4 linked regions of the Struthio camelus genome follow. The protein of the gene in region 3 purifies or fractionates together with the protein of the main gene of each other region. This does not show direct contact. Links are inferred from orthologs where the notes say so. Each region holds a gene or a part of one and is shown on either strand. Other genes may lie near its edges.

Region 1 (7,939 bases), on a different chromosome or scaffold from region 3:
CTGCATCTGCCTTTCCTGAAGGAGCTCAGACCTGCAGGGAGAAGAGGAATATCAGGGAACCTGTCTGTCTGTTTGAAAGAGAGAAAGAAAAAACAGAAGAAGAGTATGCTCAAAAGGACAGTCTTTCATGATTTACAGAAAGGGTCTCATCACAGAGCAGATATTTCAACAGAACTATTTCTAAAGGCCACGTTACCAAGAGGTATTGGCAGCCAGGAAGTCTGTAACAGGCTGAGCACAGTGCTGGAAGAACTGCCTTCTTGGAGAAGACTTAAGAGCTAAACATGCATCACTTCAGTTGACTAAATCAAGACTGCCGGAAAGGCAGGCACAACAGCTATTTACAAACAACTGAAGACCATTCATACCAAAAGCAGTAAGGGAATCATGTTCACGTCAGCCCAAAATACAGCATGCATCAACCCTGTGCTTGCACTGCTCCCTCTGAGCTTGCCTTTTTGCTACCTAAGTTATCTACTGCCTCAGCTGCTTGCTATAGCACTGCACTCTTTTTTACATCTGCATCACTACAGATGTACGCTAAGAAAAGTATAGGGGGGGATGGTGAAGAGCAGAGGGATGAAATCATGAATCGGGAAGAAAGAACAGCAGGAAAAGCTTCCGGACAGTTTGTATTCAGCTGTGGGAATCACCTCCCAAAGGAAGTGGTGGAAGATTAACCCACTTGAGTCATTTAGAACTAGACAAGACAAACACTAAAATTATGCCCTTGTACCAGAAATTCAGGAATATGCTAGAGAAACTTGCATTCTTCTGCATCAGTTTTTCATAAAGGTGGGCAAAATTAGGCCCACCTAGGCCCTAGGATTATGTAGATCAGATTATCAAAAGTTTTAAAAAAACAAAACAAAACAGCAGACTGATCTCCCTGGCTGCATACAGAAAATCCACAGCAGCAACAAAAAGAATAGCAGTTTTTTAGCTGTTCAAGTTTTATTTTAAAATAGAACTGGTTTATTTATTATATGGCTGGCAAATAGCTATGGCACTAATCAACTCTAAATTTGATAAAGATGGGATTCTATTCTCCACGGTTGTCAAGTTTGCACCTTTCACTTTACTACGCATATTTGAAAAGGACAAAAGTTTAAGGCATCTTCATCATAAACTTGCCTCATCTTGCCTACATATTGCCAGCGGCTCACTGTTTTTGCAATCTTTATAAAGCAGCCTTAGGTAAGCTTGCAAAATGCTATGTAATCACTTGCTAGAGGCAAGTAATATTTTTTATGACAGGAGAATGTATCATCAGCTTCCTCATGAGGGTGGTTGTGAACTTTGCGCCTCTGCTAGAATGTCTTCACTACTCTGGAAATCTAGTTTAATTTACTCTAATTTACATATTTCTAGTAGCAAATTATTTCTTAAAAAAAAAAAAGTTGCTACCAAGTCATCTCATGTCATAGTTGCAAACTGATTTGCTTAGGCTACCACCATCACTTACTGAATGACAAACGTACCAGAAGCACAGATTATCTAAATCTATTTGCATATATGCAAAGTCCTACTCCACTTCAATGCTTAAGTACATGCTCAGCACCAGCCATGCGTGGTTTCACTGATCTGAATCCTTGCTCCTAAAGATATATGTGTGTTGGCAGGAACAGGACTGTAGCAATACAGCAAGGGCAAATCTAACAGAAAAATCACCATTTGCACCTGAGAAGTACAGGCACATATGTTGGCATGAATGGACTGCTGTGTTATACCAAGGGCAAATCCGAAAAAAAAAAAAAACCCAAAACAAAACAGGCTGGGTTTTTTTTTCTCCCCAGAATGAAAAATATTCTCCAAGTTTAATCAGCAGTCTGACATTCATTCCATCAGATAAAGAAATCTAACATTGGGTCAAAACACGACCTAAGCAGTGAGTCAGAAAAGAATTTTCTGTCACTTTATGTTTCCTTCCAAACATCGTGCGTATGAAGATAACATATTAGACATCTCGCATGTTAGACCAAACATTGCTTTTGCATTGCTGTAAACTACTCCCGAAACCATCAGCAGAACCAGACCGTATAAAGCGGCCTTACGTTCCCATAACCCCACTTTCATCCTCAAGTAAGCTAACAGCCAGCTGTAAAGGCTCACTGCCAGCTTAGAGCAAAAACGCACCAGCTTCAACGGCAGGCGAGTCGAGCAGTCCAGTGGCTGCACCGCGACCGCGCAGCCGTCCCCACGGCACAGAAGCCTGCTCTCAACGGCCGACTGTAATAGCCACGTTCAGGCCAGGGACTCTAGAGACAGGCGGGTGGTGAATTCCCGCACGGAGGCACTCTTCGCGCTCTTATTCCTTATTTCCTGACGCCAGCCCTGACCGCTGCGCGGCCGCCGCGCCAGCCCCCTCGCCTCGCCTCGCCTCGCTCCGCAGGGCCGCAGGGCGCCCGCCGCGCCCCGCGCTCGCCGAAAACTTCGGCTCCCCGCCCGCCGCCCGCCCTGCCGCTGCGGCCGCGGCCGCTCTCCGCTGGTCGCCGCGCAAGCCGGCGGCGCGCACAAAGGCGCGGCCCGGCCGCCGCCGTCCCACCGCGACAGGAAGCCGCGGCCGGGCCCGGCACCTTCCCGCCTGGTCGCAGCAGGCGGGCGGGCTGCTGCCTCCCCCCCGCGGCGGGGCACCGGCGCCGGCGGCGACTCCCCGCACCGTGAGGAGCGTCTCCCCCCCCCCGCCCCCGCCGGCACCGCTTCGCCCGCTCCGATCCCCGCCTCGTCCTCCCGCTACCTCGGCCATGGCCGCGGCGCTGCTGGCTCGGGACAGGGGGCGCGCTCCGGCGCGCCCGACTGAGGCGCCTCCTCTGTCCCGGGAGCGCGGGCTGGGCGCGGCGCGGCTGGGCTCCCCGTCCGTGTGTCGGCCCGTCCGCCCCGGGCCGCTCCGGCGCCGGCGCCGCTGCGCTCGCCTCAGAGGTGCTCGCGGGGAGCCCGGCGGGGGCGGGGGCGGGGGGACGGGGAAGAGGCTCCGCGCTCAGCCTGCTTTTACCCCGCCCCGGAAATACATAATACAGAATACATTCCTGTCCGTTGCCGTCAAACCTCGGGCGGGAGGGGAAGAGGGAAGGGCTCTGCCTGGGCGAGGGGGGCCGGGCCGGGCCCGCCGCCGCCGCCGCCGCCCGCGCTCCCTCAGGAGCGTCGCGCCGCCGGCCGAGCCGCGAATACCTCCGCGGGGGGGGGACGGGGGGCGCTCCGCCGGGCAGCTTTCCAGGAGGGCTTTTCTCCTTCTTGTCGTCTCCCCCCTCTCCCCCGACTTCGTGCCAACCTTCATCACCTTATTTGGTGGCGTTTTTATTCGCGCTCCGGCTCCTGGTTGCCGGGGGTCGGCGGCGGCTGCCTGTGAAAGGCGGTTTCCCGCCTTTGGGGCGGGGGGGGGGAGGCCGCCATGTCTGGGGCGTCCCCGGGGGTCGGGGGGCGTCCCCAGGGCGGAGGGGCCGCCGCGGGCAGGCGGCTGTGCCGCATGGCGGGCTGTGCGCGGACACGCGTGACTTCGGGGCGGCGCGTTCCCCTGGCTGCGGAGGGCAGGGCGGCGCTGCCGGGCGGGCTGGCGGCGGGCACCGCGCCTCTCCGAGCTGGCGGGCGCTTAACTTTCACACCGGACCTGGGCACCGGTTTCGCTTGCCGCTTTGTCGTTAAAAAGCCGGATCGTTTCTTTTTCAGGCGTCCTCCTTCCTCCGGCTCCAGCTGCTGCTGCTGCTGCAGTTCCTCCTCGCTTCTCTTGGCTCTAGTCACCGCTGTGAAGTGGATGCTGCGCTGCATCTTCCAGTTGCCACCTGGCAGCAACCGCTTCCCAGGAGCGGCGATGAGCCAGGCCGCAGCCGCGTCCAGCCCTGCGGCCACGGCCACGCGAGGCGAGGAGCCCGCTGAGAGGCCGCGTGTCCCCGCGCTTCGGTGGGGCACGCCGACAGGCCGACACGCTGCAGCGGTGCTCCCTAGTCAGAGCGCCGTAGGCACCTGGAAGAGCTGTGGCGTGGTAGAGCTTTTAGTGGATAATCGGCCAACCAATAATTAATTGCGAAAGTAAGGAAGGTTAATGAGCAGATGAATGGCTTGGGCGTTACACTTCATGCGTATCGTGCTGTTACACTCTAGGAGAAGACTAAAAAGTGGAACACTTAAGTTGCTTGGGCAGTACTTGCTGCTGATTGACACACGCTGTTAACGTTCCTTAAACACGCTTTAAAATACATTCTTGGGAGATGTACTGGCAAAAAAAAAAGTGGTATTAAACACTTATTTGAAGGTAAAATCTCAAGGGAAATGTAATCTATGGACTCTACAGTTCACAGAGGCAGACTGTGCCTTTATGAGTGACCCACTGCTTGAGCCTCTGTCAGTTCTTATTTTGGTATGATTAACTAAAGTGGTGCTGCAAGCTGATAATCATTTTATAGCTCTTCTTCTGCTTTATTATTAGTTGTGCTGAAAAAATAAAAAAACAGGGCTTCTGCGATTCAAATGTATGTTCAAATTGGCCAGTGCAGTTCTTCAGGATGTAGTCTCTCAATGTAGCTGCACTAGCAGAAGCTTTTAATGCTGCTACAACTATAATTTTAAAACTGTTTTAGTGGTGTTAGAAAATGAAATTGAAATGATAGGCTGCTGTTCAAAGCAGCTTCATCAAAGGTGAGCACAACAAATGAAGTGGAAAAGAGAGAGCTTTCTGATTGAAAGATAAAGAAGGCAGAGTACATATGTTGCATGTTAGATTAGTATGTAGTATTAATACTGCCAGAAATAAGGAAAGAAACTGCTATAAAACCAACCTTTTTAAAAAGTATGCAACACAAAATAAAGGCAAATGCAGAAGGGACAGCGATCTGCCAAAAATGTAAGAAATTTAAGTACTGAGGGGAGAAAAATGGCAGTTAGCCAAAGTCTCCTTCCATGCTCCTGTATTTCAGGAAAAAACCACGTTTTGCCAGAATATAAAAATGATGAGTAAAAATATACTATAGTATACTGCAAGCAGGTAGTGACAAAAATAGCCCTCATTCTCACTGCTATGTTTTGCTGAGACTGTGAGGTGTAAATGAAAATGTTTAGCAAAGAGATGCTTCAGGCACTGCTACATTGAGCTCAAACGCTGGTGTGTCACATTGACAGTGGCTGGCTGTGCTGTGCTACAGGATGTTGGCAAGAAAAATCCCCCAAACTGCTGGAAAGCTTACTGAATTATTTGACTGCTTTCTGGACTTCTTTTGGAGCATACAGATGCGTGTGAGGGCCATTTGTTATTTTCTAACACTTCTAAAGTACTAAAGATGTCAGAAGAAGTGCTTGAGGTATCTGAGCCAGCAGTTGCAATTGCAGATGATGTCAAAATGTTTATTGCAGTGTCTCCATATTATGGTATACATGACATCTGTGAGAGTGAACATGTTTTGCATGAAGGAGCTCAAGAAACTCCTGATTTTCATGGGTTGTTCAGGCAGCTAGGAAGTATGCTAGTCATTGTTAGGCTTGGTTTGTTAGTACTAGCCCAGATGGCATGTTCTGGTTATCCACATCCTTGCATCTCGTGGAAGATGGATGAGGAAATGTGACACGGGGGACAGGATTATGAAATGTTGTGCATTCTTACTGATTTATTTGATACTTCTGGATTTGCTATTGTGTTTTAGCTACATTTTTATATGTTTATGAGACAGCTTGGTTCTTTGTTACAAGATTTGGATACAAGTCCTTGACTCGTCCTTCTCCAAGTACTTGTGTGTTGTTGAACCAATATAATAACTGAAAAATACCAGAATTAAAATATTTTCGGTGAGTTTAATTAGCTTAACTTTATTAAAATACCATTTCATTTTCCTTTTTTTTAATGTGTATTTTATACTTGGGTTATGTTTAGAAAACAAGAAAGCCTGTAATTTGGTAATGACGCCTTTCAATTTGTGTGTAGCGTATGTTCCTTTTCTGTGAATGCTGTAAGAAATAAATTCCTGTGTTGTAGAGTATACCATCCCAGGAGAACTGTCGAAGTGATGTGTGCAGAGATATCAGCAAAAATAGCAAAACAGTTTGTAAGATACCTTTCATTTTTATGATTAATTGCATACCATATTATTGAAAAATTCAGACTTCTTAAGTAATCATTAAAATAAATATTTTAGTATATTATTTCTTTGAAAATATCTGAAGTATATTTTGCACATTAAATTACTTGGTAGGTACAGTTGATTTATTTAAGTGGTGGTGTATACCTACTAGAGTTTTGCTTTAAAAGCACACTGAAGTTCTGCACACTTTCACTCTGTCTAGCAATCTTTCAGTCCAAACAACTAGCAATAAGGAGGGGCCCAGTGTCACAGAACACCACTAAGTGGTTGGTGGAGCACCAGTGGTCTGTAGGCCGTGGTTTGAGAGTCTTCGGCCTATTTTTGGTTCATTTTTTTAATATACAGAAATTACCAGCATGACCAGGCAGTGTTGTGGATGCAGTGTCAGTCTGTGTCTGTATCTTGCCTTGAAGGTACAGGTTTTATTACAAATTTAACAGGCATATCTAAGAGTCCCAAACCAGGTTTTGTTGTGTCCAGTGCACACGTTAAGAGGTAACATCTATCCCATGGGTCAACTGTTTAAACTGGGGTTTGTCAGCTGCAGCTGGGAGGCTGTAGCTGAGTGTCCCTGCAGTGCAGCAGTCCCTCCTGGTTGCCTGGCTAATAACCTTAGCAAGGGGCGATCATTCACGTGCCTCAGGGACTGCCGTATCCCTGAGGAGTAGGAACTGGTTGGTTGGAGAAGCTACTGCAGCTTCTGTGTCATTGGGATATTTACTTGGCTGCAGTTTCCCAGTGGCTGCACACTGCTGTCTGTCCGATCTGTTTTGATGGGTAGCAAAGCCCACATGTCCAGGGGTGTCATGGCCTTGGCTCCTGCCAATGTCATGGCGTTTCCCCCACCTTCTCTTCCTCCACCCCTGGAGCTTGAGACAGGGTGTATAGGGAGATACTCTGCAAGCAGGGTCACAGTGAGGAGTGTTGTGTGCTGGACATTAGCCCCAAAATGCCCGCTATTAGGCAAACTCATCTCGGTGCACCATGGCTTCCTACCACCATGGGCAGCTTTATAATCTCACCACCCACTAACGCAAATCTTTCCCTTTTGCTTTTGGATATTGTACTAGGTATCTCAGCCCAGCTCTGCCTCAGTGCATGTTAATTTATCTGTATTGCTCCTTTTTCCCAACACACTTTATTACTGAGAGCAGTGAACTTTACTCCCCTCATCTTTACTTCCTCTCCCTTTTCAAAATGCTCTTAGACGACCTAGGATATTTTTTTTTTCTCCAAAGCAGAAAAAAAAAAAAACCCAAACACCCTGAGGTGAAGAATCATAGTTTAAATACAAAAGACAGATAAAGGGTGGGAGAGAAAACAGTGCCAAAGTAATTTTTCCAAGATCAGTAACAGAGCCAGGAACCTCCTGAGGCCTCACCAGGCTGCTGCCACCTGGACTGTGCTGCCTCTGTAAACAGCCTTGTTTTCCTTTCCTGTCCTTGAGAGCGGAAGAGCAGCAGTTGCTGCTCTTTTATTCCCACAGAGCCTGCGTAGCTGTGGAGGTACACAGTGAGTTGGGAAGGCCTCGCTGGCTGTTTGTCTGCGCGGGGGGCTATGCCTTCCAGTACAGAGAACGAAGGAGATGTTAGATGTAAACACAAAATAAATACAAGGTATTATTACGAAGTAGGGCCACTTAGTACAGGAAGTGATAACGCCAAGAGGTCGCACTAATTACTTTTGATAACGGCCTCTGTTTGCTCTTTTCACAAACAATAAGGAGCACTTCTCTGGATGCTGTCCGTGAATTAACCTGGCAGCTGCTCAACAGCATACAATGTGGCCATTATACGGAGCCTTGCATTTACACTGGAACGAGGTTCTCCAGCCTTAAACGAGGGCTGGAGTAAAGTGAGTCACAGATATGACAAGCT
Region 2 (7,500 bases), on a different chromosome or scaffold from region 3:
TATATTGCATATATTCAAAACTGAAACAGCAAATAAAAGAATAATTTTGTTTTTAATCAGACTTTTGGCCAATTACAATTTTAATTCTGACATTTGGAACAACATTGGCAGAGTACTCCAATTTATCTCATTCCCACCAGTTAACAAGATGTTTTGATCAGTATCTTCTATACTAATTTATTAATAATTGTTACTGTCTCACTTTCACTCAAAATGACTGCAAGCTACACACTAGCATAATTTTATTCCATAATTTTTTGAGAAAAATCAAATCTCACCAGTGTTTTGGAATCTGGCAAATTCTCTCCCTCTTTGTCCCTAAAGAACACGTATTTTACTAAAATTGAGCCTGAGTGGCATAGCTATGTGCTTCAACATAGCAAAGTTTCTGACTTGTATTAATAAACTGTAGTTCTTAAGCATGCAGCAGAAGTTACATTGATTAGTCTTGTATCTCAAAGAATGCTTAAATACTGCTACCATCTCCTTTATTTCACCCTTCATTCCTGTATAAAAGTGCAAATACATGACTTATTAAATACATTACAACTTTTCTGTGCTGGAAGAAGATTTTTTTTTGAGAGGATCAGAATGATTTGGTTTGCTGCGGACAAGTGAATATTTATTTAGTCAGTGTCTTTAAAAATGTGTAATTGATTCTCAAATATGTTCCCAGATTATGCACAGTTAGAAGCCAATTATGCATATGTTTTTAAGATCCATATGGGAAATCAAAGATTCAGGCCCAGAGCCTTAGATGTTTCCGTAATTGGTGATTTTGCTTTGTCCTTATATTAGTGCCATTGCTACTCGTTTGTTACTATGTTCCCTAAAAACACAGCTACATGCCATAATTTCAGAAGGAAAGGTGACCAACCAAGTTTACCTTTAGCTGTTTGTTATTTTTAATTAATGGGCTTCCTGCTTTCTACGGTGTTAAAAGTTGTCTCTGCAAAAGCAGTGCTAAGGATGTTAAAATGAGGCTAACAAAAAGATTTAAATCATTATCTTTTAAAATTTAACCATGAAGCTCTCCTTTGCACTGAGGATTTCTTACTGCAGTGATACACAATGGACATGTTAGAATACTGCTTGACCTTTTGAAAAAAATATGTCTGCGGCATAGTCATCTAGCAAATAGTCACCAAAACAAACCTATTAAAGCATAAAAGAGCTCCAAAGAAACTTCTGAAGCGGCATATACAGAGTGGATGCTTCTTGGGGGAAAAAAAAAGAAAAGTAGAAGAAGAAAAATAACTGGATTTTTGTGAATTCATTCATGGAAGCCCTGCACTGTAATATCCAATATAACATTCACTCTTCTCGCTTTGACACTGGACCATTTCACAGTGTATTTTAGAAAATTTAGAAACATGAAATGTATTTTAGAAACATTTTGTAATTGAAATAATAGTATTATAAGTCAGAGTTCATCCTAATTGCAACATTTCCAGCTATTAAGGTATTTAGCTTTCCTAGGGTAGTCTTTTTAAAAAGGTGATACTTTAGAAAATGATTAGGTACCTAATAGCTAAAAATTGCAAAGCTAAAATGAACCTAATTTCTATTAGCATCATGTCTAGATCCAAAAGCATCCTAACCACTCTGCAATGAAACAAATATAGTTTAAAATTACAACAAACCACGCAAGAGTAAAACAACTCAAAATCAACAAGAGCCTACCATTATGTGCTAAAGGCCTTATGAAATTCATATAAATATATATAAAAAAAAAAAGTTGTATGTTTTAAACCTGTTTGTAAATGGGCTAGTTCCAGCAGTCCTCATCAGGTGAAAAAAAGCAGTCCATACTTCAGGGGCCAGAAGCAAAGACACAGGCTGTACCCCTCCTGCTTCTGCAAAATCCAGGCTCCAAAAGCCCCATCCTTGCAGACCTCAGGGGGTGGGATGGCACACAAAGAGGCTCTGAAAGGTATCTGGGACCATGCAACGCATCAAGGGCGTTTGACTGATTCTACTGTTGTTATCAAGTACCCAATGGAATTGCTGATGGTGAATTTGGCAATAATACCCTATAGAAACAGCACTTTGAACTTATATAGCACCTTTGATCCAGGGATCTAAGAGGAGAGGTCTGTCATTATTATTATCCCCATTTTACAGAGGGTGAAACCAAGGCAGACATGATTTTCCCAAGGTTGTACAGGAAAGCAGCTGAGAAAGGGAGGTGCACAAAGAACGTAGCTCTTCCCCCCACATCTTTTTTTTTTTTTTTTAAATGCACCAAACCAATCTCCAAGCACGCTTTCTCAGATTCGTAAAAGCAGAATCAAAGTTTTTGTGTCAAGGATGGCAAGGTCTGCCGCTCACAGCAGCACGCTCCTGCGCCATGCAAACACACCCTGCAATTCCCCTGGAAGCTGATCAGCGTTTGCCGCCTGCAGGCCCTGATCCGGCAGCATTTGCTTTGCCTACTCTGGCTGCACAGTTCTCCTCCTTCTTGCCCTCCTTTCAGCCAGTGTAGCCAACGTGGGCAACCGTCCTAACAGGAAATGGTATGACAAGGAAAGCTGTATTCCTTGACCCTCTAACTTCAAGTGTATCCCAGACGTACTTCATCCTAGTGAGGGCGTGAGGTCGCCCAGTGCACCAGGAGGCTGGTGGGTGGTAGATTGCTGCATGTCCTGCAAAGGCAGAGAAGAGTGGAGAGCAACCAAGGAGTTTGGGGTATTTTTAGTTTTTGGGGGGGGGAGTTGGTTTGTTTTTGCGTGTGTGGCTTTTTTTAAGCACTGCTGCCTTCCCAGTGCTTAAACCGCACTGCTTCACTAGTGACAGCTCCTCTGGCTCTGGGACCCCTGCATCAGTCCCACTGGGCCACAGCCTCATGTGGTTGCCCCATGCCAGGCCAGGCAGGCAGGTACCCCAAAACTCTCCCAGGTGCTGCAGTGGACCAGGGTATTTTGTGTGCAGCAAGCCCTACACCTTTATTTTATTTTACTTTTTGAGCAGGGAGAAATCCCATGTTCAAAAAGTGCTGGTGCAATAAAGCAGTTGATGTGAAAATCAGGTAGCACTGTCAAAGAAGTCCTTTAGCCTAAGACTACTACACATTACATTACTAAATAAATCAACAAATAGGGGGAAAAAAACTTTTAAAAGTGTAACTTTCTGAGCCTATTTAAAAGAGTATTATCTTTGGAAAAGCAAGCACACAGGCGGCCTCTCTGTGAACCATGCATCTCCCCAGCGCAAGAGCCACAGCAGCTAGAGGATGGTGGGGAAGGAGAGGCTGCGTGAAGCCCTCCAGCACGAGACCAAGTATTCAATCCCCACCATCCCCTAGTGCCAAAGCAAATCTATACTGAGAGGGGAAAAAATAATCCATCTTTCACTATAAAACATCTTTCATGTTTTATATAAACACGTTGGTATATACACTCCTTGTTTCATGCAGCGGTGCACTTTCGGGGGTATGTTAAACAGGCTTTGCCTGTGCAAGACGGCACAGGCAAGAAGTCTGTAAAACGTTTTGCTGCGCAAGCCCGCGGACGCCGAGGAAGAGGCAGCCACATACGTGCCTTCACAAGGCTCCGCACGCCGCGAAAAACCTTGTGCAATTCATAATATTTTCCTGTTTTTACCACTCACTGAAGAGACGAGGGGTGGGCGGAGGACCGGTGGGGGGGGGGAGAGGGAAGGGAAGGAAAACCTGCTTCTTCCATAGAAAATAAATAAATTGCATAACGAGATACTTTCTTTGGCAACTGCTTCCTGACAAATATTTATAAGGGCAGAGCGGAGCGCGTTTCCGCCGACGTGAGCGGGCCCCGCCGCCCCTGTCCCCGGGCTCGCCCCAGCGGCCGCAACGGCCCCAACGGCCGCAGCGGCCGCGCGGCCCGGGGCGGGCAGCAGCTGCGCCGGCGGCCGGAGCCGAGCGAGAGGCCGGTTTTAAGGCGTTAACGCGGCCCGCGAGTCCTCCGCAGTCGGCGACGAGCCTTGGGGAAAACCGCAGAGTTTCCCCTCTAGTTGGCGGCGTGCGCACCCCCCGAAATTTAAATAAATCAGTGAATAAATAAAACCCACTCCCAGAGGCCAAGTGGAAGCGGGCTCTCGCACCCCCCACCCCACCCCCCGCGCATGCCTCGTCCCAAAAAATTCGCACTGTTTTGCCCTGAGGGAAGGGGACCCCCAGGCTAATCCCCTCAGCTCCTCCACCACCACCGCTCGCCGCCGCCGCTGCCTCTCCCCCGCCTTCAGGCAGCAACTTCGCTCGCAGCCTTAAGCTCGCTCCTTTCTTCCCCCACCGCCGCCGGGGTACGCTGCCCCCCGCCCGACCCTCTGGCCCCGGCCCCGCCGCAGCCACCCTGCCTCCCCCCGCCCCGCCGCGCCGCCGCCGCCGCCGCCGCCGCCGCTGCTGCCGCCGCCGCCTCCCCCCCTGCTCGCGGCCGCTTCCCTCCGCTACTGCTCTCTGTCTCCCTCCGCCCTGGGAGCCGGGCACTATTTCTCCTCCCCCCTGCTCTGTGCGCTGGGCGCCTGTGGAATGCTGCGCGCTGGGCCCGGCCGCGGCGGCAGGATACAGCCGAGCCCGGCGCTCACTATAAGAACCTCCTTGTGAGCGACGCCATTTTAAGCCTCTCGCTCGGTAACGGCGGTGGGAGCAGCAGCGGCGCTTGGGCGAAGGGGGACTAACACCGCCGCCGCCCCGCACGGCTGCTACCCGGGAGGCAGCGGCGGGGGTGCTGCCGCCGCCAGCAAAGAGTCGAGCGAGGAGGAAGGGCGGGGGGGGGGCGGGGAAGAGAAAAAGGAAGGAAAGACGGACGGGACCGGGATCGCCCGGGCAGCAGCAGCCGGAGCCCGGGGGGACCCTGCGCTCTCGCCCCCCTGCGACAACGTTAGTGCCACTTTCTGCGGCGGGAACTTGGGGTGAGCCCCTGCCGGCCACCCTCCTCCTTTCCCCCCCCCCCCCCCCCGATGGCCGCCGGGGCGGGCGCCGCGTCCGGTGGCCGTTGGGGGGTCCGGGGTGTGCCGGGCGCTGAGGCGGGAAGGGCGCGGGGCTGGGGGTGGGGGGCGCTGCTTGGGTGGGAGAGAGGCGGGTGGCCGCGGGAGGTGGGGGGTTGGGGAGCGAGGGAAGGAGGACAGGAAAGGAGGAGAGGGCTCTTGTTTTGGGAGGTCCGGACAGCTGCGTGGCCGCAGGAGGCGGCAGCTGCAGCTTCCCGAGGTGTCTCTTGGGAAGCTCGTCCTGGGCCGAGGGGGTAGTTGAAGGGGTCTGTGGGAGGGGGCGAGACTCTGCGATGCGGGTCTGTGTGCGTCTGTGCTCCCCGCTGGGTTTGCGGTCGAGGCCGGAGTAGTTTCGTACCGATTTTTTCTCCTTTTTTTTCTTCCTCTTTTTTTGAGGGGAGGGGAAGGAGGGAATGCTGACTCGCCAGTGGGCTCCAGACCACAGCAGTGACCGGGGAGAGGAGGGGGAAGAGAGCAGGGGACGGATTTATCTGTACCTTGTATAATTAACTAACCACGGTCACTGCAGTCAGAGGTAGATAACTAATCTGTTGACTTGTAGGTTTTCTGTCGTAGTTGCATGCGTGTTTGTTGGAGAGGTTGTGCTCCTTCTGGATGTCTTCGAAATGAAGCTCCCTGAAGCTAGGAGCAATCAAATTAAGTTTTTAACACCCACATTACCAGAGTCTTGCAGAGGATGACTTAAGCGATGTAGGGGCTCCCCTGTTGAAGGGGGAAGCGCCTACTCTTCGTGGCCGACCGGGGGGGGGGGGGGGGGAAGGCCCTCCAGCGACCCAAACCAAAGCAGTTCTGAGCTGTGTGAAGCAACTTGCTCTTACTGTTGATGGAAACTTATTTCTGACTCTATGGAACAAGGAGCTTCAGATGTATTTTTCCCCAGCGGCTTAGTTGAGCTGTCTTTTGTGCATGATGGGTTCCTCTTGGGGCAGTTTGATTTCTTAAAAATCTAGCAAAATCTTAAACTCTGATCTAACTAAAACTTGGTATAAGACCTCTTGCAGTTTCTTTTTGAATCGATTGCTTCTGGGAAGAGGTGTTCTTGGTACAGTTTTGGGAAGAAAACACAGGCTATGGAGGCAATATCAGCAATTTGTGACTGTGAATAGCAATGTTAATCTTTGCAATCAGCTACTTTTTCTTGATCTCTTTCTCATGGAGCAGCCATTGTTCTGACACTCTGTATATTCCAGACATCTGTGGTCCTCCCATCCCCCAAAGTATGCAAGTGGTGAATGGAAAGAGGCTGGGCTGGTATGCTGAGGTCGATGGAAGGAAATCAAGGAGGGGTTTTAGTAAAACAGGATCTTTGTGCTGAGAATATAGTAAAGGCATAGAGTAGAAACTTACCTGAAAGAGAGCAGGATGTTCTTGATCCTAAGTTCAAGCACACTGGAGAGCAACTTTATCAGTTATGACTTTGCTCTTGATTGGCAAAGCTGTTACTGCGAATCTTTAAAACAGCACAAAAGGCAAATTCACTGGTGTCCACTGAGCCAGGTAATAATGTGAATTTCAAGTAACTGACCACTCCAGGAACCTAATGTTAATCTTGCGCTTTCACCTTTTTTATTAAAAGGTGCTGACAGCTGTAGGTATCATCTGACTGTCAGTTGCACGATCGCTGGTACTGTTGAAAATAAGGCTACTTAGATGTTCAGACAAGGCTTTGAGTCTCTAAATTCAGCTATTGTATACAGAATCATATTAAATGTCTTGCTATTTTAGGGGTCATTCTACAGAACTGTCCTCTTTGCTTGGCTATAAGTTCAGATAACTTGTATTTAGGTGTAAACTGATATGCTTGGGAGTGTTCGTGTTGGTCTGTGGCTGCTTCCTAGGGTATCAGGGAGAAGTGTAAAAACATGCCAAACAAAAGGATAGTATAAAATAGATTGTAAAAGCAAGGGTTTAATTCAGGGTAAGGCTTAATCCAAAAGTCAGCTAGTTCTTAACGTTCAATGTTGTTACATCCTCAGTAAACAATTTTTTTTTTCTTGCCTGAGTAACAAATACGTTGTCCTTCTTGCTTGATATGTAGTTTGCTATTTGTGCTATGGCTACATAATGTGTCAGTAAATGGTTTATCAAATCTTAGCCCTGAAACTTAGTTGCCTTTCAAATGGAAGGTTTTCTTTGTAAAATGTATCCATTAGTCTTTCATGACTTAGCATTCCCGAAAGCTCATATCTAACCCTTCAGAAAATAATTTCTGATGAAAAGAGATAAAAATGAGTAATACTGCTGATCTTCTAAACTAATTTGGGGGTATTTTGAGGTGTGGAGAGGACAGGCAGCAAGAGTGAGACAGGAGAGGCAGCTATTGTAAGCTTTAGCATTGTAAACTGAAGTCTGAATGTGCAATGTAAAACTCGTGCATGAAGTTGTTTTTGCAAAATATGGTCTAGTATCTAGACTAGTGTGCAAATACAGCAGTAATCAAAATCATTCATGCTAATTCAAAGTTAAAGCTGGTAACACAGGGGTTGTGATGATTGTGCAGTTGGTTGCAGCAAAACTTGT
Region 3 (7,102 bases):
GGCTAATGGAGAAAGACTGTGAAAGAAAGGACAGTCCTAAGTGACAAGCAGAGATTTCCTGTTGTCTTCTGCTTCAGCAGTTTAGTTAGGAATTAGAGGTCCTAAAATCTGGTATTTTACACAGCATGCCGCGAGGCCTAAGAAGCTGCCAAAGGCGAAAAGCTCAAGCAAAGAAATGTGGGGTGGTGATCTATACAGGGCTGGATTGTGTCAGGTATCCTGGCTCTGCAGGCAACTGTGGACCTATATAGCGATAGAGAGGACTGCAGGGAGAGGTCAGAGTGTGTGAACGGAGTTATTTATAGCAGCTTCAAGGAGATCAGCACTGGAGTGACAGGGAAGCCCAAACAGAGCAACTGTGAAGCCAGATTCCAAGGCCAGTAAAAATACCAAGAAGCTCTGGAGAGGCTGTAGATCCACCTGTCTGCAAGCAGTAGTCCCATATTGTGGGACCAAGGACTGCTGCAGGCAGAGTAGCACAGAAAGAGAATCCAGTATGGGAGGAACGTCCGGTTACCTGCATGGAGGATCCTGCCACCAGCACGGAGTCTGATTCCGCCAGGCGTTGGTGCACAAAATTCACTTTCTCCCGGCTCACTGTGTCTCCAAAGAACGTCACGTCAGGCTTCAGGATTCCACCACATTTACTGCAGGCTGGCACTTGGAAATTACGCACCTGCTCGTCTGTCAGGAAGACATCTCCATCGGGAGCCACACCAAGCGCTTCAGCTTTCCAGGTAGGGTTCAGAGCTTCAAAGTGCACCTGCAGCTCAGAGCGCAAGGTTTGGTCTCCACAGCCCAGGCAGAAAACCCTAAAGTGCAGAACAAAGTCTTAACCGAGAGCTTCATGTCAGCTGAGCCTCTGGAGTCAGTAAGCTGTTGGTTGGATGGCCTGTTGTTACTGTCCGCACTTATCCACCAAATGGCACAGGTCAGTGGACTGTCTGTCTACCTCTAGTTGAGACAATCAAATGAAGAGCTTTATAGAAGAAAAAATATATATATAATTACACCTCAGAAAGAAACCAACCCATGCCAGCCAGGCAGTGGTCCCCACCTCCAGAACTTGTTGCTTTGCAGGGATGCTCTAGAGGAAGCCTGCTGTGCCTCCTCTCTTGCAGTCACTCTGTGCCTTTTCATGTGGAAACTTTGGGCAATCACAAGCAGACCGTGGTGGCCCCTCTCCAGTACACCCACCCTCTGTTTTTCTGGCACTACCCGCTCTGCTCAGCCCAGGTAATTATTCCTTGCATCCTCAGGATCCTCCTCTTCACCTGAGCAAAGGATATTTGCTTTAGCAAGGAAAGGTGAGATTCTGACTGACCCAGCCACTAAGGGAAATGATCCAAAAAGTGCTCCAAAAAAATGGGATGCTGTTCATGCTTATTAAATACTCTGCTGTGAGCAGCACTGATGCGTGACCCTTTTCTGCACCCCCAGCCCAGCACCTTCAAGCATGTCACCTCCAGTAACACTGCACATCTACGTTTTGCCTCCTGGCTCAGCAGCTACGGCTGCACTTGCTGCTTCTTAACCCCAACAAGACACCAGAGCGTTAACCGTCCTCTCTACCACGGAGAGTACCTGTGCGTGCAGCCGTGCAGTTCTGTCATGCGCTGGCTCCCAGCTTTGGTGTGAAGGGCATCCACGTTCTGGGTCACCAGCCAGTGCAGCTTTCCCAGCTTCTCCCAGTCTCTTAGCACCAGGTGTGCTGCGTTCGGCTGGTGGGAGGAGAACTGGGGCCAGCCCACGAAGTTCCTTGCCCAGTACCGCTGCCGGGCACTGGCACTGCGGACAAACTCGGTGTGCTGGATGGGCCGCCTGTCTGTCCTTGCGTAGAGCCCGACGCCTTCAGAGCGGTAATCTGGGATCCCTGATTCAGTCGAGACTCCAGCTCCAGTCATTACAAAGAGCCTCTTGGACTTGGAAACAAAGTGCTGCAGCTCCTCGACTTCCACGGGATCCGGGGGGAGACACTCTGGCACGAAAGTCAAGTTGGGAGAGGTTCTGGATACAACATGGGATCGGAAATGAAGTCTGATGGCTCTGCAACCTCCTGACAACTTCCTGGCAGAGAACATCTTCTGCTAAAAGTAAAGAACAGAACACAGGTAAAAGAAAGCAAAGAGCATGTCCTTAATTCCCTTTCCTTGGGATACTCTGGCAAATAATACTGATAAGTGTTCTTTGTCCTATTTTGTCTTTCAGTAAAGAATTCCAAAGTATTTTGAAAATGTTACTGAAAGCTTACTGCAGGAGGACAATGTTCCTATGCGCCCGTTGCAGGGGGTAACACCGAGGCCTTCCCATGGTGCAAGGACAGAGCTAGCACCCCTGACTCGCAGGGTTCCTGCTCTCCATCCCTGCTGTGAAGGCCTCAGAGGACTCCTAAAGAGCACAGATGGACCTGTGCAGGGCTTTTCCAGGGACGTGCAATAGGCAGAGAGGACAGAGCAGGGAGGGCAAGTACCTCACCCCTGCAGGCATTGTGCGGCTGGTGCCTCCGATTCCTCCACAGAGGAGACTCTTGCTCTACTGTCTCTAACGCATTGCCTGCTCCAAATCAGTCTTTTCAGTTTACCCCATCCTCGGCCTCTCCTGTGGAAAGCAACAACACAGCCACCTCAGCATTTTCCAGAACAGATTGATTCTTCGCGAAACCTAAGCTCCACAGGAGGGCTTAGTCTGGTAGGACTTCCTCTACAGTTCTGAATCATTTGTTGTAATCTAATCAGTGAATTTTATTCTCAGTGATTTTTGTTTTGTTTTCATGTTTAGCATTAGTTGTGTTTGGCCTTTCTTCTGAAGAGGTTTAATTTTCCATGTGAATTAATTAAAAGGGACACAGTTTATTGGGAAACGTTAGCGTGCTTTGAGAATAACATCTGTTGTGATCCTCCCAAAAGGCTGTTAAGCCAGTTTGACAGTGTTTAAATTGCTTGCACTGATGGAAATTCTCCATTTCTGTCACTTATCATCAAAAGAGCTCTCGGAAGAAAATGTTTTGAAGGGGACTGAAATGCAGACATAATTTGGATTGGCCGGCAGGAGAGAGAAGGCGGTATTAGGCACAGCAGCAAAAATACCAGATACATTTGAAAGGTGCTGTGAAGCAAGGAAGTAGGACAGACTAAGAGAAAAACTTAAAAATGACAGAACGCATGATGCAAAACATGAGGCTTCTTTTAAAATGAAGGTGCTCGGATTAAAAAAAAAAACCTTTAATATACTTATCAAGATCCAAGCTAGCGTTTGTTTTTAACACACATCCAAAATCTTTTACAGAAAGAGATCGGTCCAGTTTAAGGTAGAAAACAAACAAGTTTCTATAAATGATTTCAGGCCAGAAAATCAGAGGTGTACCCAGGTCATCCGAATCTCTTTTGCTGCAGTAATGACTGCAGGCGAAAAGGGGCAACAGTCAAACTGAACACGCTTAATGGAAGAAGATATAGTGAACAGGGCCTGAAAACTTACCTTTCATAATGCTGCCGTGGGGGACCTCTGAAGAGAAGAGAGGACCTACCGGAAGAGTAGTGTTCTGGGAAATGTAGTTCAGCAAGAAATTAAAGCCTACAGCAGGAAGACTACAGTTCCCATGCTTCAAAGAGGAGGGGGGGGAAAAAAAACCTTCCTGAAATGTCATAAGAAAGTGAAATGTGAAAAAGCTAAACGCTTCACAGCTGCCCTCAAAGCAACAAACAAGAAGGAAATCACAGCAGTATTTGCTACGTAGGGACTAGCTTTGATAAAGTGCGCTGTAGACACCCGAACGCAGGCAGCTTCCCTTCACTGATGCTAACCTGCCAGCCTTTGGTTTCAGAAAGTGTCAGAACAAATAACAGGAGCAAAGTCCGCTGTGGGCTGTTGAAGACGATGGCTCTTCCGGTTCCAGAACTCCCGGGGGTGTGAATTGCTGGGGCCGCGCTTGCCCCTCGCCCTTCGGCGCCTGCACTCGGGCCCCGGCCCGTAGCGTACCGGGAGGGTGGACTGGTCTTCTGCTGAGCACATTGGGAATGATGGGGAAAAAAGTTGGGGGGAAAAGCCAGGGGAAGGGCCCCCGGCAGCAAGGATGGACGAATAAGGAAAATCCGGTCGGTTATGCGTTACAGTGCGGCCAGACGACCCCCAAGAGGCCGGTGTGTGACAGGTGATCCCCACGCTGCTTTCAGAGGAGGCGTGGATGAAAAAGGGGGCAGGCGTCTGTCTTTCATCTCGTTGGGCCTCTCCCCGGGCACCTTCCTTAGACGCCCTGAAGCGCTTTGACATGAAACCCTTTGCCACCAAAGGGCTTGTCGGTTCCCTACCTCCCTCGCGGGCTCGCCCCGTTGCTGGCCTGACCTGCTTGTCACTCTGCTGATTGTCACCTTCTGCAGCCAGCCTATACGGAGACGATGGTGCTGCTGGGGATGCTGCCGCGGTTCCCATAAAAGCTGTTTCCTTGTTCTCTGGCGAGCAAACTGCTTGGGTTTCACTGCTGGCTTTTGCTGGGCAGCGATGTCCCCTGCCCGTTGTTTCTCCACAGTTTGCGGGAATGCTGGTGTCTTGCTGGAAAGCGGCAGGTTATTGAGATGGTGACATTTTTTTCTGGCCAGCTTGTTGAGCTATTCCCACAGGAAACTGTGTTCCCTAGACCCTGAAAACAGCGGCAGTAGAGGGTTTTTGTTGTTTTCTTTCGATGTTTCTTTTGGGGGTGTTTTTGTTCCTTTTTTGGAAGGCCTTTCAAGTCGCCCTGCTGGGGTTATGAGGGTCTGGAGATAAGGTCCGCTTCCCCTCCGCGTGGCGTAAATGGAGGCATTTTTTCTTCCATTCAGCTGCTGGTTCCCATCTGAACTTCAAGAGCTGACACCGTGTGAGACGCTTACCCCGGCCACGGGCAGCTGCACGTGGCCAGTGGTTGGGGTCGGGTTCGCAGCGGGGCACTGGCACAACCTTTCAGTCTTGACATGCACGTGATAAACCATGACTCGACTGGCACAGGGGGTTATTTTTTCAGGTTTTTAAAGAATGAGCTAGAAGGGGGAAGTGCAGACGGCTGTCCTGCAGCAGCCCAGCACGGGATAGTCCGCCGCGTTGCACCCGGCGGGTCTTTCTGATAACCTGGAGCGCTTTCCACGAGCATCCTCCAGATGGGGCGAGGTTTTAATCCACTTTTCTTGCCTTTGCAGTTACTTCAAAGCACGGAGGAGCCCAAGGCTTTCTGCATCCCTGGGATTTTGTGATCGCAAAGGAGAAGCGCGTCCCGCTTGCGCGGCGCCGGCTTTGCCCGCTGCTACGCGCCCTGCTCCCGGGGAGGGCCGGGGCCGCCGCGGGCCCTTAACCACGGCCTTTCAGCCGCCGCGTGAGTCTGAATGGACTTTAGGTCGTTAGTGCTTATTTGAAGAGTTTCGATGCGTTTTCAGAGCGCTGTGGGGTGGAGGGGGCTGCCGGCAGGCCCTGGCCGAGCCGCCGCGGTCCCCTCCCGGGGGGAGCCCCCTCGCCCCGCCCCTCTCATTTGCATAGTTCCGTCATTTGCATTTCGCGCCCTCCCGGCACCCCCTGCGCGCCGCCGCCGCCGCGCCGCGCCGCGGGGCCGCCCCCGGCGCCCCTCCCGGGGCGGTGGCGCGCGGCGGGGGGGGCGCGCGGGGGCGGCGGCGCGCGGGGGCGCGCGGCGGGCGGCGCGGGGCGGCGGGGCGGCGGCGCGCTCTGAGCGGCGGGGTGGGGCGGCGGGGGCGGCCGCTGGCGGCGGGGGAGGGCGGGCAGCTTTGCGCAGTGGCAGTATCGTAGCCGATGAGGTGAATCCGAGGCGCGATTATTGCTAGTTGAAAACTTTTCCCAATACCCCGCCGTGGCGGCTTGCAATATAGTTGCCACCGGCAATTTTTGAGGGCCTCTTCGGAGGCTGGTTTCACGTGGTTTAATGACAGAGTGTTGGAACAGGGGAAGCGGAGTTTGGGGAGGAAGAGGGAATACGGGGGAGGGGGGGGGCGGGGCTGCGGCTCCGAGGCGCGGTCCGGGCACGGCGCGGTCTGGGCGCGCCCTGCCGCCCGCCTGGCGTCCCGCCGCGCGCCATACGCACCGGCCGCCTGACGTCACGCTGCTTTGCATACTCTTTCCCAGCAACCTCCGCGGCCGCCCCGCCGGTCGGCACTGCGGGGAAAACGGGGCTCTCCTCCGCGCGGCGGGGGCGTGGGGGCGCGGCGGGGCTCGGGGGGCGGCGGCGAGGCGCGGGGCGGCGCGGGGCGGCGGGGCGCGGGGGCGGCGGGGCTCGCCGTGAGCTGGGAGGCGGCGGCGGGGCGAGGGGCGGCGGCGGCGGGAGGAGAGAGTCAGCTTTGCGCAGTGGCAGTATCGTAGCCAATGAGGTTAATCCGAGGCGCGATTATTGCTAATTGAAAACTTTTCCCAATACCCCGCCATGACGACTTGAAATATAGTCGGCATTGGCAATTTTTGACAGTCTCTACGGAGACTGAGTTTTGGTGTGGAAAGACAGAGGAAAGGAATGCACGACAGGGGTTGTCCTCGTGTCGTGGCCTGGGGGGGAAGCGCTCCTGAGAAAGCGCCCTGCGACCTCATCAGCGCCACAAAGGTTTACTGTGTGTGCGATGACACAAGGGCTTTTGTTCCCTCTCGCCGCAGCCGGGGTCTGCCCCAGCCAAAAACATGTTTTAATGATAAATCGAGGGCGCGTTTGCATAAAAAGCCCAGTTCTTGCCTTCCCTTTCAAAGGTGCTGAAAGAGGAATTGATCCGTGAAAACGGGAGCGGAGGGAGTGGGGTGCCGGCGGGTGCCTCTGCCCTGGCTCCTGCTGAGCGGGCTCCTTGAGCAGAGCGCTCTTGGGGGGAGCTGCCGGTCCAAATCGTGCTTGACTGGCTCCCGAAACGCTCCGGCACGCATTGGGGAACCGCGTTCAGTGCGCAGCATCGTTTTGTGCAACGGCTCATTACTGTATAGATCCATCGGCATCACATGCTTTTCTTTATTTTTTATTATTTTTTTTAAAAGAAGACTCCTCACTGTCAAAGAAATCTTAAACCTTTACTCTGGAAAAAAGCAGCTGCTGAGTTTAGTGTAAAATCCTCTTTTTGAAATTAAGTAAACCCCATCTATTTCTAAGCTGCAG
Region 4 (7,175 bases), on a different chromosome or scaffold from region 3:
CACATGCCCAGGAAGTACAACAAGTGGGACGCATGCCCAAGAGGTTTGAAATCATAGTCTAGGGAAAGGTTTGGGTATTCTGGGGGAGGTGCTTCATTTCTCCTGTTGAAGCTGGCCATGTGGTCAGCTAGGTGTGGGTGCTTCATGGCACCAGAGATGAGATTTCACTTCTACTGGCTGCCCTACCTTAAGGGGAGAGCTGGCACTCTGCGTGTTCTGGAAATGTGTATTGGAAACAAAGCAGGAAGATGGGCTCTGGGGCTTCTCTCTCCCAGCAAAAAGCCCCAGCCATGCTCATGCATCCCTGTTTTCTCTCCATCCTTAGGCCAGGTGCCTGCAGCCCCCATAAAAGAGAGATGTGCAGAGGCACTTTTTTCCATTGTATTTTCTTATAGGGGCAGGCTTGGGCATCTCTGCATTTAGCGCACGTGTGAACCCCGTCACAGCTGCCTAAGCCTCTCCATGCTGCTTGGCCACCCATAGCACTGCCCCAGAGCTGAGCACGCAGTTTCCAGGTACCTGAGCCTCATGCTGCCTGCGCCCAAATGTCAAATACCTACTCGGAAAGTCCCACGTTGGTGCTGCTGCATCAGCACTTTAGCCACACTCTGTAAGGTACCATTCATTTTATGTTTATTTATGCTTGGTTGAAAAGCTTCTCGGGACCAGAGCTTTTTGCATCTGCCTATTAAAACACTCTGGCACTTCACAGACAATTAAATAATTGCCTCACTAGTCTTCTTTTTCCACTCGTCTCTCCTATCTGGTTTTCCTTTCATGTTTATTTTATTTGATTGATCCACTTCTTCTATTACGTCCTTCACCTCTCCCTCTTCCACGCGCTCACTAGAAAACAAGGCACAGCTTAGGCTAGAGGAAAGTGTAACCTTAGCCCCCTGGCTAAGATGGATGTTTTGGGAGAAGAGTAGCTCAGGTTGGCTGGTTGCCTCTGTGCCTGCTGCAGGTTCCTGTGCTCCTTTAGTTACTAAGGGGCCGCTTTGGGAGGAGATGGAGAGACAGGCTGGTGGCTCTCAAAGAGCCTCCTCTCACTTTGTCAGCCTCTTGTTTGCAGCGGGAACCCAGTGAATGTGACCACATAGTTTTATCCATGTACAACCTTGCTCTGCTCCATATTTCTACCTCCGCTGGTACCATGCTGCTCAGGCAGCTGCTTCCTGACTTCACAAACACCATCTTCACACGTGGAAATATATCTCCGAGCTTAATACAAAAGCTTTGTTGGGACGAGGTTTTTCTCAGAGGGATATAAACTTCCCTAGGTTCAAACTATGGGGATAACTACTTATTGCACAGGAATCCCCGATCAGTAATTGATCCAGTATGACCCCTATGTGGCTAATTACTGACTGCCAAGGCAATTTCTGTTTAAACCGGACTGATAGTTAATTAGTCTCCTGCCCATCAAAGTCACGACCTTGTTTTGGCACGAGGAAAGCAGAGGGTGGCATATCTGGCCAAAGCACCTCATTGCTGCTCCAAAAACAGACAGACGAGGTATTAATAACTGAAAATGAAAAATGGGAAGTGAGCATCCAAGAAGAGGCAGAAGCTTTCTTCGCCTGCCATTTCCTTGCTCTCTTTCTTCTCTCCCTCCTCTGAAAAAACATTGCTCATGGGCTAAAAGACCAAATAAAAATGCAGAAGTACAATTTCCACTTGATCACTTTCAATTAGTGGCAAATACTACTGCCAACTCAGTTTATACTACAGAACACAAGAAATACTGCTAGTGTTAGTTTTTTGTCAGACTGAGAACTGACAGTTTATTTCTGCTGCCTGTCTTGCCTTTCAACCACTTTCCAATCCATAGCAGAATTTACCTTCTACCTCATGACTACCTAGTTTCCTTAGTAACTTCTTGTAAGTGTATGACAAAAGCTTGTGAAAGTCCAAAGAGATTGTCAAATCTTTATTTACTGAAAATGATGTGTTCTAAAATCTACTAGATCTCTGCCCAATCTAATTCAGTTAGTAATACCCAGGTATTAAGTCTCCCCCAAACCAAAATGTAATACTCTTGCTTGTGCAAAGATATTTAACACCTGCAGGCTTCTATATGTTGTCCATTTCTGTCCTGCATGTATGAATTCAATACCAAAATGATTTTTTTTTCAGTTTTGTACATATTTCAAAAATGGTTTATAGAAAAAGGCGGTTAAAACCATACATTTTGATGCCTTCAGGAGGTTTTTAGATTGCTTAAATATTACCCTAATGAGTGCTTAAATAAAATTTACTATCAGCTTACAATTTATTTTGAAGAAAAAAAGGAACCAAATTCTAGACATAAAATAATCAGAACAGCTTGAATGGTGAAACAAATGAGAAAGGAGCAAAAATTAGTAATAATCATATGTTTCATCATTTGCATTACCTGAAACCTCCCAGCACAGTATAGGTTTCCCCTTGCTAGACGATGCAGATGCAAAATAGCGGTCAGTCCTAGGAGCCTGCCATGTAAGCAGGCAAGACTGAGGCTCGCAGGAGACAAAACAAGCCAGCAGTGCAAAGAGTATGGATGGTTTGCATTAGATACGTTGTCAGGGAAAGGTTGAGAAGAAAGGAATCCAGGAAGACTTGGGCATACTCCTAAAATCTTTTGGGCAGTTTTTTCCTCTGAAGATTTGAGAACTCTTCCTCTGCCGTTGGCAAGTTTGAAGAGTTCCAGTTAGGCCATCCACACCGCTCAAGGGACTGCAACGAATAGCTGTGTTGTTGCTGTCCTTTTACTGGTAGCCGAACAACTCTCTGCTAGGAAGCTTTTGCTCAAAATGTATAGTGAAGGGGCAACCAGGAAAGCAAAAGTTTCAAATGATTAATGCTATCAACTTTTGGAAGCGCTATTACACCTTATGTGTCAAAGTTTAAGGAAAGCTGCTGATATTATGGATTAGGAGATTTAATGTTGGAGTCAGATCATCTCTTTTCAAATCCAAAGGCACCTATGTCTTTTGGAGAAGCAGCTAGAGCCGGCGCACAGTCAGAGACGGGATAGGGAACCAGGAGAGCTCCCCCCAAGCCAGTACAGCTACTTCCTGGTCCGCATAAAAGCCAAGTTGGAAACAACCTGCAGCAGTATATAACAGCTGGTAATACCTTGCATACGAGAGAGGAAACAGTTGTGTATTGAAAATATACTATCTAGCATTGTTCTGCACCTCGAGTGGGTCGGATGCGGATGCACCCCGAGCAGGGGGAAGCGGGAGCCCGGCTGCTGCTGCTGCATCACGTCTCGCCGCGCACGTGCCACCGCGGCGATGCTCATGGCGGCAGGGAGGCTCTGCCTCCCCTGGGCAGCGCACGGCTGATCTGAACATACTAAAACGCCCGTTTCAAATAGGATCTCATCTGAGCAAAGTCTTAAGGAACGGGTTTCTCTGGAGTAAAACCAGAAAGGACACAGATACTTTAGCCAGTTCTCTCAGATTAACCTTCCCGATATTTCTAAGTCTTTACGTTGGCTTCTCAAGCGCTGCCATAAATTAGGATTGTGGAAACTCGCCGAGAGTGAACCGGTGAAACATATGGCAAGCCGCAGACATGATGGCTGGAAAGGAGCGCGGCGCGGCGAGCCAGCGCTTCAGCCGCCGCGCGCCCTCCTCCTAACTGGCGTCGCCGCTCGTGCAAACTGCAAGCAGAGGCGAAGGATGTGCAAACGGGACCGGCCGGGCCAAGGAGACGCTGCCAAGCGTTCCTAGAAGGAGATTTTACCAAAACGCTCGCCCTCGGCCTATGATGAAAACCGCTTTTTTTTTTTTTTTTTTGCTCTTTTTGTCTGGACCGTTCGCCCGACAAGGGGGAGCCGGTGACTTTTCCCCTCCTTCTAACGGGCTGCCCACACCGGGCCCCGCTCGGGCGCGGCAACAGCGGCGGCGGCGCGGGGCGCCCCCCGCTAGGGGGCAGCGCCGACCGCCCCCCGGGGGCCGGGGCCGGAGCTGGGGCCGGGGCGGCGGCGGAGCCCGGCCCGCGCCCCCCTGCCTGCCTGCCTGCCTGCCTGCCGCCCCCGCCCCCGGCGCGCCGCCCCCCGCCGCCGCCTCCGCCGCCGCCGGTGATGTCATGGGGCGGCGGCGGGGGGCGGCACTGCGGCTTGGCGGGCGTCTGGCGGCGGCGGTGGGGCCGGGCCGGGCGAGGGGCGTCGTCATCTGCATTCACATGGGGGAGGCGGGGGCAGCGCCGGCCGCCGCGGCCTCCGCCTGAAGCCCCGGCCCGAAAAAAAAAAAAAAAAGAGGTTGGGGGTGAGAGGGGGGGGGAACGCATCCAAAAAAAAAAAAAAGATTTAATAATAAAAAAGGGGTGTCCTCGCCGGTGCGCTGCCTCCGCCTCGCCCTCCGCTGCTCGCCGGAGCCGGGCTCCTCCTGGCCGCGGCCATGAATTCCGCGGAGCAGACCGTTACGTGGCTGATCACCCTGGGCGTGCTGGAGTCGCCCAAAAAGACCATCTCGGACCCGGAGGGATTTTTGCAGTCGTCTCTGAAAGACGGCGTGGTGCTGTGCAGGCTGCTGGACCGCCTGCTCCCCGGCACCATCGAGAAAGTAAGTGCCCCCCGTCCGCCCGCTCGCTCGCTCGCCCCCGCGACGCCCTTTGTGCGGCCGCGCCCGCCCCGGCCCCGGCCCCGGCCTCGGTCTCTCCCCTCGCCGGGAGACCTGCCGGGCCGCGGGGTACCGCGTCGGGGCGGCGGCGGCTCAGGACAAAGTCCTGGCGGGCAGGAGGAGGAGGAGGAGGGCGAGGAAGGCTCAGCCCCGGGCGGCCGCGCTGCGCCGCTGCCCCGCGCGCAGCCCCGGTGCCCGCGGCGGTGCCGGGTAGAGCCGAGGGAGAGGGGCAGCTAGGGGTGCACACAGCCTCCCCGGAAAGGGCTTCCTTCCCTTGAGAGCCGCGGAGTTGCAAGTGTTTCACACGGAGAGAAAGAAAAGCAAAAAAAAAGCAAACAAAAAAAACCCCAAACAAAACCAAAAAACCCTAAAAAGCAAAAAAAAAAAAACCCAACAACTTCAGTATATAGTCCTCACTCTTCAATTTGAACGTGCGTTTTTGAGATTTGGACCTTTTCTGCCATGCTGTAAAGCCGGCTGAAAACTTATCTCCCCAACTGCTGGTATAGTCAGTGTCTCACCTCGCTTGGGGCTGTGATTCAGCTCATCCCTTTCAACGTTTGAAGGAGGTTTTGTGATGCTACGCTTAGTTTTGGTGTGGGCTGTTTCGGAATTGTTTTAGGTCTTTTTAGTGCTTTGTAGCCTGTGGAGAAATCTCATCTTTTTGAGATTTGGGGGAAAAAAAAAACCAAAAAACCCACACACAGTTTTATTCTGTGTTGTGTTTGAACAAATATAGTGCGTCAGGTAACTTTCATGTATTGTGTATGCATACATAATTCTTTTTTTTTGTAGTTCAGATGTAGTGAATTGTGATTTTTGGATACTGTACCTTGAGATTTGGAATGATGCAGTTGTCTCACCTGGGCTCAGTGTCCCAGTGTTTCATTCTGCATGCTGGAGGAAGCGTTCAACAATGTAATATACATTATGGTTATATATATATTTTTTTTTTCTGTAACATATGCGCTTGAACTATGTGTAGTGGCAAAACTTTCCTTTTGAACCACGCAAGGTAGTGAAGAGAAGATAAATGAAGGTCATCTGCTACGTTGACAGGAAAATTCCTTGCCTGAAAATAATACTGCATTTTTGAACTTTTTCAGCTTGCAGACCTTGCCACTACAGACATTTAAGCCTGCTGACAGTAGGTTTTCATTACCTTTGGTGGCTCTTTTAAAAGTAGCCCGCTGACCCACAAAGTTGAAAACTGGTACGTTGAGCTAAATAGGGCATTGGACACGGCACTGGCTTTGGTTATCTCCCTTTAGTTCTTGAATTTGCTACATGCTGAAGTGGTTCTTGTGTTGTGGTGTACTGTGGCCCAGAGATCCTGGCCTAGGATGGGGGTCCTGCTACCCTGGGTTGAGTAGGCCGTTCCTGCCCCCCAAAATTTGCAAGCTAACTTGGAGACAATACAGGGATAGAGAAACCACTGGGGAGCTCAGGGTGTTGTCGATGGATCCAAGCGATAGGAGCGGACACGACGTATCGGCCGTGGTGTGAGCGTAGGTGACTCGGGCTCCAGCATGGTGACAGGTGGAGCCAGCTGGGACGCCCAAAGCCGCTGCTGTCCCCTGCTCACTGCTCTGCCCAGGAGTTGCTATTTGTATAAGAGAGCTGGAAGAGGCATGTGTTTGCTCCTGGGGCGCTCACAGCTCGGGTAGGGAAGGTGCAAACTGCTCTCCGTTTCATTCAGTACCCTGCACACTGCAGCTCCGGAGCAGGTGAAATGTCTTTTTCGGCTGCCCGGGGTGACACATCTGGCAGCAGGGAGGACGTGGGGCTGCAGGCTCAGCCATCCCGGCTACCTACGTGAGCAGGAGTCCCCAGCTGCAAAGGCAGGGTCTCTCGCGGCTCCCTTTCCCCCAGGCTCGCTCTCGTCTGGTTAGCACCAAGTCTTCACACAGTTAAGTCTCAGCACAACATCTTACCAGTCCTCTGTGTGCGCAGCCTCGAGTAAGTCTCGAAAGTGCTTTGGACTCCAAACTTTGGGGCAGAAAAAGTATTTCCCTGCGTGCAGATGCCAAGCCTAGTGAAATGGGAGCCCAAACTCAACTTGGGAGACAGGATGTAACTGTATGACAAAATAATTAAAGAGAGCCTGATGGAAATAAGTGAACCGAATAGTGTTAGAATAGTGTTTTCCAACTCAGTGTGCATGCCTGAGTATGGTATATATATGGCTTTGTTAATGTAAATGAGTTTGTTAATGTACATTTCACTTTTTTTTTAAACATCAGGGTGACTGATGTCTTTGATGTTCAGGTAGGGGTCGCTCCCTGACGCGAGCCCACAGGGTTTGTGCAGGGACATGGTTGCCCCCAGCCTACCTTACTCCTGGTATGGTGTGCAAGGAGCTGTCAGTGGGTCTGCGCTGGGGGCTCAGTGGGGTCTGTCTGTCCATGCCTTAATGGACCTGGTGGTGCAGAGAGGAAGGGGTTTGCATGTGGGCTGAGGTGGCCGCCAGGGCGGGAAGGTGACTTGCTTCAGCCGAGCAGTGGGAGGAAAGCTGGAGCTTCGTGGCCTCCGAGCTTCCCGGAGCTAGCCCCGCTTGGGCCAGGG

Evidence for each region.
Region 1: the proteins of PXN (region 3) and ITGB1 purify together in Homo sapiens (affinity purification with western blotting; 3 studies listed by BioGRID and IntAct, with this or other methods). This does not show direct contact. The link is inferred for Struthio camelus from reciprocal best matches to the Homo sapiens genes PXN and ITGB1.
Region 2: the proteins of PXN (region 3) and CTNNB1 purify together in Homo sapiens (affinity purification with western blotting; 3 studies listed by BioGRID and IntAct, with this or other methods). This does not show direct contact. The link is inferred for Struthio camelus from reciprocal best matches to the Homo sapiens genes PXN and CTNNB1.
Region 4: the proteins of PXN (region 3) and ARHGEF7 purify together in Homo sapiens (affinity purification with mass spectrometry; 3 studies listed by BioGRID and IntAct, with this or other methods). This does not show direct contact. The link is inferred for Struthio camelus from reciprocal best matches to the Homo sapiens genes PXN and ARHGEF7.

The regions. Positions count from the first base shown.
Region 1 is NC_090943.1:16,830,227-16,838,165, reverse strand, and holds the start of ITGB1 (integrin beta-1), read right to left. Parts: upstream 3,009-7,939; 5' UTR 2,747-3,008; coding exon 2,738-2,746; intron 1-2,737.
Region 2 is NC_090943.1:51,348,713-51,356,212, forward strand, and holds the start of CTNNB1 (catenin beta-1), read left to right. Parts: upstream 1-4,488; 5' UTR 4,489-4,884; intron 4,885-7,500. UniProt on the Homo sapiens protein: Key downstream component of the canonical Wnt signaling pathway.
Region 3 is NC_090958.1:7,823,883-7,830,984, reverse strand, and holds the start of PXN (paxillin), read left to right. Parts: upstream 1-4,086; 5' UTR 4,087-4,101; coding exon 4,102-4,139; exon of another isoform or gene 4,140-5,168; coding exon 5,169-5,341; exon of another isoform or gene 5,342-5,463; intron 5,464-5,740; exon of another isoform or gene 5,741-5,881; intron 5,882-6,307; exon of another isoform or gene 6,308-6,448; intron 6,449-7,102. Other genes in the region: SIRT4 (NAD-dependent protein lipoamidase sirtuin-4, mitochondrial), read right to left, coding at 518-812, 1,585-2,084, 2,476-2,487. UniProt on the Homo sapiens protein: Cytoskeletal protein involved in actin-membrane attachment at sites of cell adhesion to the extracellular matrix (focal adhesion). Recruits other proteins such as TRIM15 to focal adhesion.
Region 4 is NC_090942.1:158,295,186-158,302,360, reverse strand, and holds the start of ARHGEF7 (rho guanine nucleotide exchange factor 7), read left to right. Parts: upstream 1-4,175; 5' UTR 4,176-4,388; coding exon 4,389-4,553; intron 4,554-7,175. UniProt on the Homo sapiens protein: Acts as a RAC1 guanine nucleotide exchange factor (GEF) and can induce membrane ruffling. Functions in cell migration, attachment and cell spreading. Promotes targeting of RAC1 to focal adhesions. May function as a positive regulator of apoptosis.